Macaca mulatta: one gene and its partners. The protein of the gene in region 1 purifies or fractionates together with the protein of each later gene. This does not show direct contact. Links are inferred from orthologs where the notes say so. Each region holds a gene or a part of one and is shown in the gene's direction. Other genes may lie near its edges. The genes, in order: WDR20, PHLPP2 and FBXW5.

Region 1 (3,655 bases):
CCAGCAGTGGGTCTTAGACTTGAGTGGGCATCAGAATCACCTGGAAGGCTCTTTAAACTAAGGCTTGCTGGCCCTACTCCCATAGTTTCTGATTCATTTAGTCTGGGGTGAGGTTTGAGATTTTTGCATTTCTAAGTTCCCACGTGCTGCTGCTGCTGCTTCTGGTTTGGGGACTACACTTTGAGAACCACTGGGCTGCAGGTAACTGGCCAGTGGGCATTTAGGTGCTGTAGATACATTGAAAGCTGAGCTTGTTATGTGGTCACTCTGTTAGACACTGCTTGAAATGCATTTTGAAAATACTGAATTTAGTATCTCAAGGATATTTCCTGCTGAAGTCCAGGAGTCTTTGTTACATGTACTTGAAGGAGAATAAGTTGTGAAAGTAACAGTTATAAACATATTATAGATAGTCTAATAATATCGAATTGGCTAAGGTATGTGAAAGTGCTTTTATAAAATGTTAGATGAATGTTGTCACAACTGAAAAAATATTTTAAATAACTTCGTTTTTAAGATTAAACATCATAATGGAGTATAAAATAGCATAACTTAGATTTCTCATCTCAATGTGCTGTTTACTGTATGTATTTTTCTCTTTCTCCTCCAGGCTGCTGACTTGAGTAAACCAATAGATAAAAGGATATACAAAGGAACACAGCCTACTTGTCATGACTTCAACCACCTAACAGCCACAGCAGAAAGTGTCTCTCTCCTAGTGGGCTTTTCCGCAGGCCAAGTCCAGCTTATAGACCCAATCAAAAAAGAAACTAGCAAACTTTTTAATGAGGAAGTAAGTAGCACCCCGTCTTAGCTGTTAAGAATCCCTTTAAGAGTTGATACATTCTCACCGAGGTTAGTGGGCCTTATTTTGCACTTCAGGCTAAGCCCATTTTTTATTCGCCCAGCCCTCCTACCTAGTATGCCCAAGTTTAAATGTGGTGGATAAATTTGTTGACCTTACCTGTTCTTCCTTGGGGTAACTGTTTTGTGCATTTTTATGGAGCATGCTCAGGTGTCTATAACAGTTGTTTTAAAACTCTTCTATAATGGAGATAGGGACAGTACTGTAACTCGGTATTTATAATTTAAATAAGAAAATATAGAATTCCAAAGTTGGTTTACATCACCAGAACATTTCATGCAGATCAAAGAACTTGATGACATTTCCTTAGGCTGCTTAAATTGTAGCTAAAGCTTCTGTATGTGTGTTTGACAGTTATTTGGCTAAGGAGTACTTCACTTGCTCTTGAAAATAGTTGCTGTAAACTCACCTTTGACATAGTTAGAAATTCTGGCACTTAAAGTTTGGTCACATGACATAGCTTTTGCCAGTGTTGTAGTATGTACTGGGGTTTCTAGTATCTTCAATTTCATTCTGGAAAGAGCCTGAGATATCTGAGCTGTCTGTTCAGGAACATGTCAGGGCTGTTAAATGTGGCATATAGAAATTGCCAAGTAGATTATATTTTTTAAAGCTGTTGGAGCATCTTTCAGCCTCAAGTATTGCTATTTCATATTTAATGTTCTTCCTCCTCTGTTTCAGTATGACTTTTCTACCAAGTGGGAAAGATAAGGTAGGCTTGCTGAGTTAGAAACCCTGGGTTCCAGTCTCTACTTGGGACCTTGCCGCTGAGGTGCAAGGGTCAGGCTATGTAGGACCCCCTCCCTTTTGCATTGTTGCATGGTTTGAACATCATTAACTTGGAACAAAAACACATTATAGAATATGGTTTTTAAGAAATAATTTTGTTTGGGGAAGAAAGTTCAAATTGACAAATAAATGGCAGTTAAAATTTGGATTCTTCTGCAGTCGTGGTGCTTGCTATCCATGCAAATCAGCGTCCACCCAGGGTGCTCCTGTCTGACTTCGCCAGTGGGTTTGATAAGATCTTAGGAACCATGCCGTCTCTTCTAGTTTCCTCTGAGTTGACTGGAAATAAAACTTGCCATCTGGACTGACACACTGTAGAGGAAAAGTATTTAATCCCATTTTGCATTAAAAAAAAGTGAAGCAGAAAATATTTTATTTACCTAGATGTTTTGTTAGTATCATCTGAGGAAGTGATTTCTGAGTAGCTGGATGATTATTTTTTTGGTGCTGGGTTGCGGGAGCAGCACACAAAATTGGCCTCCTGTGCACTGTTAGCAGAAATTGTGAATTTGGAATCATTGTGGGTTTTTATTGTTTAGGTAAGGGAGAGTGTGATTGAGGGGGCAGGGATTGGAGCCATGTACAGGGCTGTTAGTAAACAAGACCCGGAGGCAGCCCTGGCCGAGGATGGTACAGAATGCCGCTTAGAGAACAAGAAAGTTTTGTGTGTCGTGGCAGGGGGAGGGCAGGGAGTTGGAGACCACACGTCCCCAGAGTTTCAGGGCTCTGGGAGCACCCAGGCTGCGTCAGCCAGAACTCGCTGCCCTGGTGACTGGGAGTTGCAGGCTGGAAGGCAGCTCCTCATTCTTCATGATTTAAGCATGAGTTTTCTCATACTCATTTTACATTTTATTTGAAAAATTGCTATTTAGAATGCTAGGACTGTGTGTGGTTTAATGCCAGCTTGGCATTTACAGCTTGAGGCTGAAATTGATTGCCCTTCATAGTAAGGAAATTCTCTGGCCGTGTGGATACATTTTTATCAGATTTTGGTCAGAATGTCTAAGAGCAAGAGTCACTGGAGGTTTGTTCCTTAGAGAGTGCCAGGAATGGTGGTGGAGTAGTCATCGTGTCGTGCTTTGCTATGGTGTGAGATTTACAGGTTTCAAGGCACTTTTACCTGTGGCCTCTATGGGGAGGGTGGGCAGTTATACCCATTTTACAGATGAGGAAATAGTCAAAGAGCACGTAAGTGAATTGTCCAGATCAGGTCGCAAGTTGATGACAGAGTTGGAACCAGAATTAATCCAGAAACTCTTATTGGTTACAGGCCCTACCATGCATGGTTGCCAGATCAGCTCTTGCCCTTCTGGGAGCTCACAGTTTAGTAAGGATGGACAGAGAGTACTGGGCGTGTGTCAGCATAGCGATATGAACAAAATACCAAGGGGTAGCTGCCGCAGGAATTCTTCAGTATGCATCACATAACATAAGGTTTTTAAAAATGTTAAGTTCACTGGGGGAGTTCCAAGAAATGCTTTCAGAAAGTGACATTTGATCTGGGTCTTAAAGGGTACATAGTCGTTAGAGGAGGGTAAGGAAGGCCTTCAGAGCTGGAGGAACAACTGGGCATGTGAAAGAACGTCCAGGAACAGCTTGGCCACATCACAGTGTGGGACTTGGAGTGGCAGGGTTCGAAGCTGGAAAGATCAATTGGAAGCAGCTTGTACTATAAAAGCCCTTTCATGTCACGTGAAGAAATTTGGAGCTGACACTGGAGGATGTGGGGGAGCCTTTGGCCTTTTAATCAAGGGAGTGACAGGATCAACTGTGTTTTTAGAACTCTTGTCAGCACTTGTGGAAGGCGGATTGGAATGAAGACAGACAGGATGAAGGTAGCAAGACCAGTGAGGAGGCTCTAGTAACTGTCCAGGTGAGAGCTGAGGGCTTGAACTGGAGTTGTGGCCATTGTTTCATTCATTCAGGACCTGACTTCCTGCCACATGCCCAGCACTGGGTCTGCGGCAGCAGCAAAACCTGCCTTCCTATGGCCCCTCAGGA
Region 2 (3,655 bases), on another chromosome or scaffold:
TTCCATGAACAAAATAGAAGCACTAAAAGTTACTATTTTGTGTATCAGGTCACATAATGGTAAAATGCTGTCACATTCATTATTTTCAAGCTCTAACTGGTTTATTCATTTTATGTGACATTTGAGCCAACATAATTTCAGTATGAAAAAAGAAGTTGCTTATTAAAAATGGGATTTGATCTACATATTTGTTAGCTGTTGCTCTATGAGTTGATTAATTCTTGCAAGGCTTTTGTGTATTACATGTAGAAATTTAATGAAAAATTTCAAGCATATCAAGTATGATGAAATACAAAAGAATTATACCAGCATGAGCTGTTCTTCAAGATTGTCTACCTTTTTAAAGAGAAAAGAGAGCTCCTGTAATGCTAGACCTGGTTTCCTTCATCACATGGACTGTGCATTAGTCATCTTGGTGTCCTCTGTCCCCACTCAATGTTTGATGTGTAGCGAGTGCTCAATAAGTATTTTTGGAATAAATTCTATTATAGACATTTAAAATGGATTATCAAAGGCCATTGATGTCCCTCGTAAAGATATAGTAATAGATGTATTGAAATGCAGTATCCATTTTTGCCTTTGCTCTTTAGATTTTCTCAGCTGAAGGGCCTGAACTTGTCCCATAATAAACTTGGGTTGTTTCCTATATTATTATGTGAGATCTCTACCCTGACTGAGCTCAACCTTTCCTGTAATGGATTTCGTGACCTACCAAGTCAAATTGGCAATCTGCTAAAGTAAGTAACTTTTACTAGATTCATCTTTTCCCTTGCAGGATAAGGAATTTGCCTGGGGTTTGGAATGAAGGTAGTACTGTGAGCTCTTGCAGTGAAATAAATCATGTACTTACTAGGATTCTAGTCAGCAGCAGTTTTTGACATCATAGATCTACCTGCCTGTAGCAGGGACTGATCCCTCAGCTTCAACAGCAGAGGTCTTAACTCTTTTAATGTTGGGGTGACCATTTGTGTAAGTTATGTGTAAGTCATCTATTAAGTCTGTATAGATGGAGAGTTAGGACACTACTATTTTTGGATTGATAATTAGTGACATAAATCAGAATCCGTAACTCTGATTCTATGCATTCCAGTGAAACCTTCCATAAAGTAGACTTGTTTTGTTTTCTTCCTGTAGTCTTCAAACCCTCTGTCTTGATGGCAACTTTCTGACTACTTTACCTGAAGAACTGGGAAATCTACAACAGCTTTCCTCTTTGGGAATTTCGTTCAACAACTTTAGTCAAATTCCTGAGGTTTATGAGAAACTCACTATGTTAGATAAAGTGGTTATGGCAGGAAATTGCCTGGAAGTCCTGAACTTAGGGGTGCTGAATAGGATGAACCATATCAAGCATGTGGATTTAAGGTAAGGTTATTCTTTACCGCAGCTTCCTTTAAATTGACTCTGTTGGACCTTTATGTCTTCTCTTTATGAAGATTTGTTTAAGACATTAGGGTTTTTAAAATTTTGTTGTCGTTGTTTTGAGACAAGGTCTCACTTTGTCACTCAGGCTAGAATACAGTGGCACGATCTCAGCCCACTGCAGTCTTGACCTCCTGTTCTCAGGCGATTCTCCCACCTCAGCCTTCCAAGTAGTTGGGACTTCAGGTGCGCACCACTAGGCCTGGCTGATTTTTTTTCTATTTTTAGTAGAGACAAGGTTTCACCATGTTGTGCAGGCTGGTCTCAAATTCCTGGACTCGAGCAGTCCACCCACCTCAGCCTCCCAAAGTGCTGGGATTACAGGTGTGAGCTGCCATGCCTGGCCCGTAACATTAGGTGTTTTGAACAGTATAGAAATGTGTATTTTCAAAGGTATAGTAAGACTTTAGTTATCATTCAGTAGCAGAGAGATTCAGGATCATGTAGTTGTACCATGTGATAGAGACTATCAAATTGCCTTGGACAGAGGTTGTTTTTGCTCACCTTCCCATCAATGTATATTTTTTATTTTTTAAATTTTTTGTAGAGATGGAGTCTCACTGTGTTGCCCAAGCTGGTCTTGAACTCCCTGGCTCAAGTAATCCTCCTGCCTTGGCCTCCTAAAGTGTTGGGATTACAGGTGTAAGCCACTGTGCCCAACCCCTCCAACATTGTAGGAGAATTCCCATTTTCTCATATCTTTGTCAGTGTTGGATTTTAGCATTTCTTTTTCTTTATCATCAGTCTAGTAGATTGAAACAAGTATTTCATTGTTTTAATCAACATTTATTTACAGAGCAGTGAGGTTGAACATCTTTTTATATGTATATTAGTAGTTTGTAGATTTCCATAAATGACATTTTTCTGTTGAGTCATTAGGTTTCTTCTTGATATCCATTGTATTACAATTAAAATGTTAAAGGTTTCATTACTAAGAACCTTTTATGAGGGTTTTATTTTCTAGTCATAACCTTTTCCTAATTGAAGCTGGTAAAAAGACACCTATTGGGTGTTCTGTAATTTACAGTAAACCATTGATGTACCTTGTAAAGACAGTAACAGAGAGTTTTTGTTTTTGTTTTTTTAACCACACTGGAGACTTGAGAGATTTATAGAAATACAGGAAAGTGAGAACAGACCTGCATAAATTAAATCATATACTTGTACAGAAAAGAACTCAGAGGTCATTTTGTATAATTTACCTTTGAACTCTTCGGTATATGTGTGTGTGTGTATATATATGTGTGTGTGTATATGTATATATACATACACAGATTATTTCCTTGTCAATTAATTTTATGTGAACCTTAGCACTAGAGATAGAGCAGGCATAGCAATAGGAGGAAGTATGGTTCTATCCTTATACTCTGGACATGGTACTGTTGTGACTGTTTTGCTACTGTCTCACTCAAAAGGTTGTGTTCATCTTCCTGTTCCTTTGTCCTACTTAGTGCCCACCTGACCTTATTAGGTGTTTGGATATAAGTGTTTAACTTGTTCAGGATATGGCCTCTTTTTTCCTTCTCTTTATTAGTTTGTATATGTATTTGCCAATCTGGATTGTCTGACTTAGCTGTACCTTGAGTTATTCATCAACTGTAGTTATTTATATAGTATCTTGCAAAATGAGGCAAGTAGTGAAATTCTTAAATTGTTTAGGAAACAGAGAAAGGGAGCTGGGCATGGTGGCTCACACCTGTAATCCCAGCATTTTGGGAGGCCGAGGTGGGCAGATCATCTGAGGGTAGGAGTTCAAGCCTGGCCAACATGGTAAAACCCCATCCCTGCTAAAAATACAAAAAATTAGCTGGGCATGGTGGGGGTGCCTCTAATCCCAGCAACTTGGGTGGCTGAGGCAGGAGAATCACTTGAACCCGGGAGGCGGAGGTTGCAGTGAACCAAGATCACGCCATCGCACTCCAACCTGGGCAACACAGCGAAACTCCGTCTCAAAACAAAAAGAAAAGGAAACGGAGAAAGGGATCATGCCTGTCCTATTTTTTATTCTGGTAAGCACATTTAATAGACTCTTGTTTCTGATTATTTTCTTGTTTCTGCATATTAAGGATGAACCATTTGAAAACCATGGTTATTGAAAATCTGGAGGGAAATAAACACATCACCCACGTGGATCTGCGGGACAACCGACTGACTGACTTGGATCTTAGCTCCTTATGCAGCTTGGAACAGCTGCATTGTGAGCGGAACCAGCTGAGGGAGCTAACACTCAGTG
Region 3 (2,272 bases), on another chromosome or scaffold:
CCACACCAAGCCCCCTGAGCGCAGTGCCACAGGCGCCAGGAGCAAGTACCTCATCTTCACCACTGGCTGCCTCACCTACTCCCCACACCAGATCGGTACACCCCTGCCGCCATGCTGCCCGCCTCGGTCCTAGCAGCTTGGGGGAGGCCGGGCAGGGGTCCTGGGGGGCAGACGGCAAGCAAGTTCACAGGCACAGCTGGGATCATTCACTCACCCCGGGGTCACAAGCCCAGACCTGGCCTCGTCTGGGGTCTGCGGGATGAGCGGTGAAAACAAACAGGCAGGCCCGCTGGCCAGTGAGCAGCTGAGGGGCCTGATTCAGGTCTGGGGCCCCCGGAGCAGGCAATGCCCGCAGACCTCTGCGGTGCCCACAGCCCCAGAGACACTGTTGGGGTAGGGGGCTGTCCTGGAGTGACGTCCCCGGGGCACTGGGCAGGGACCCTCACCGCAGCCCTCCCTGCAGGCATCAAGCAGATCCTGCCACACCAGATGACAACGGCGGGGCCCGTGCTGGGCGAGGGCCGGGGCTCTGATGCCTTCTTCGACGCGCTGGACCACGTCATAGACGTGCACGGGCACATCATTGGCATGGGCCTGTCGCCCGACAACAGGTGGGCCTCTTGCCAGTGTCCCAGGCGGGGTGCCCGCAGGTGGCCCATACCTAGCACAGTGCCCCTCGCCCAGGTACCTGTATGTGAACAGCCGCGCCTGGCCCAGTGGTGCGGTGGTGGCTGACCCCATGCAGCCGCCACCCATCGCGGAGGAGATTGACCTGCTGGTGTTCGACCTCAAGACCATGCGGGAGGTGAGGCGGGCTCTGCGTGCGCACCGCGCCTACACGCCCAACGACGAGTGCTTTTTCATCTTCCTGGACGTCAGCAGGGACTTCGTGGCCAGGTGCAGGGCGCAGCGTGGTGCAGGGCGGGCGTGGGCGCAGCAGGCGGGCGACCGGCTCATCCAGGCGCTGTTCTGCAGTGGGGCGGAGGACCGGCACGGCTACATCTGGGACCGCCACTACAACATCTGCTTGGCCAAGCTGCGGCACGAGGACGTGGTCAACTCAGTGGCCTTCAGTCCCCAGGAGCAGGAGCTGCTGCTCACGGCCAGCGACGATGCCACCATCAAAGCCTGGCGCTCCCCACGCACCGTGCGCGTCTTCCAGGCACGTCGTCCGCGGCCTCGCGCCTTCTTCTCCTGGCTTGCCAGCCAGAGGCGCTGAGGGGTGCTGCAGGGTGCACTGGAGCCGCTGGGACCCCTCGACGCCACCCAGGCTCTGTGGTTCTTTCCCGAGCGGGAGAGGTGGAGACGCTTGTAGCAGTTACGCCTTAGGAAGGGGACAGCCAGGCCCCGCCACGCTCTCACACGCAAACCTGCTCACGCAGCTGTGATGCTTGGCACAGGGTGGCCAGTGAGGTTGGAAGCCAAGGTCCCCTTGGCCTCCTGGCCAGCTTGGGGTGCACAGGATACTGGGGGTGCCGCTCCTCGCTCATCCCTAGGCTAGGGGTTCACCCGCCCCAGCTGGCCTCAGCCTGGGGCACCCTCGGCTGGTCCTGCGGGGCCCTGGACAGTGGCCCAGCAGTGGCAGAGGCTGCTGGCTCTGGCAGCCTGGCTGTGGTTGTGCGCCCGGGGCTTGGGAGCGGCCAGTCACACTGCTGTGGGCCCGAGTGTGTTGCATGTCCACGCACCACCCGTTCAGGGCCCTGAATAAACAGTTGGCAACAGCACGTTGTTGTTCAGTCTCTGTCTGCAGGGAGGGAGACCATGGGCCCCACTGGCACAGTGGAGCGGATCTCGTCACTACTGACGGGTGACGTCACCGCTGGCATAGTGGCCCCACTGGAGTGGTTGTTGCAGTCACTGCTGACAAGTGACATGTGCGTCTGAGGTCATGTACTGGTGCCAGACTTTGTCACACTGCCCTGTCCCCCCTCTGTGACATCCAGGGAGATGCCTGGCACATCTGCCGGGGCTGGCAGCATGGAGGGCCTGCTGATTCCAGGGTCAGTAGGCCGCGTCGCTCCCAGTGCCAGGGCAGCCTCCACAGTCAGTCCCGTCCTTGAGGGAGTGCCTCGGCTGCTGGGGGCAGGGAGGGTGTTGGGCAGAGCTCCTCAGAGTTCATGCCGAGGAGGAAGGGACCAGGGGCCCAGAAGTGGCAGCAGAGGTGCAGCTCCAGCTGGACGTTGCAGGCTTTGTCAGAGCTGCACCGGAGCTCAGGGGGCCCAGGGTGATGGTGGTGACAAGACGGCAGGAGGAGAGCCTGGCATCCGGGTCC

What was found.
Region 2: the proteins of WDR20 (region 1) and PHLPP2 purify together in Homo sapiens (affinity purification with mass spectrometry; 4 studies listed by BioGRID and IntAct, with this or other methods). This does not show direct contact. The link is inferred for Macaca mulatta from reciprocal best matches to the Homo sapiens genes WDR20 and PHLPP2.
Region 3: the proteins of WDR20 (region 1) and FBXW5 purify together in Homo sapiens (co-immunoprecipitation; 3 studies listed by BioGRID and IntAct, counting the BioPlex papers as one, with this or other methods). This does not show direct contact. The link is inferred for Macaca mulatta from reciprocal best matches to the Homo sapiens genes WDR20 and FBXW5.

Annotation. Positions count from the first base shown.
Region 1 is NC_133412.1:175,552,002-175,555,656, forward strand, and holds part of WDR20 (WD repeat-containing protein 20), read left to right. Parts: intron 1-610; coding exon 611-793; intron 794-1,546; coding exon of another isoform or gene 1,547-1,577; intron 1,578-3,434; coding exon of another isoform or gene 3,435-3,527; intron 3,528-3,655. UniProt on the Homo sapiens protein: Regulator of deubiquitinating complexes. Activates deubiquitinating activity of complexes containing USP12. Anchors at the base of the ubiquitin-contacting loop of USP12 and remotely modulates the catalytic center of the enzyme.
Region 2 is NC_133425.1:68,207,396-68,211,050, forward strand, and holds part of PHLPP2 (PH domain leucine-rich repeat-containing protein phosphatase 2), read left to right. Parts: intron 1-590; coding exon 591-737; intron 738-1,134; coding exon 1,135-1,365; intron 1,366-3,488; coding exon 3,489-3,655. UniProt on the Homo sapiens protein: Protein phosphatase involved in regulation of Akt and PKC signaling.
Region 3 is NC_133420.1:5,526,168-5,528,439, forward strand, and holds the end of FBXW5 (F-box/WD repeat-containing protein 5), read left to right. Parts: coding exon 1-95; intron 96-463; coding exon 464-611; intron 612-684; coding exon 685-897; intron 898-975; coding exon 976-1,219; 3' UTR 1,220-1,724; downstream 1,725-2,272. UniProt on the Homo sapiens protein: Substrate recognition component of both SCF (SKP1-CUL1-F-box protein) and DCX (DDB1-CUL4-X-box) E3 ubiquitin-protein ligase complexes.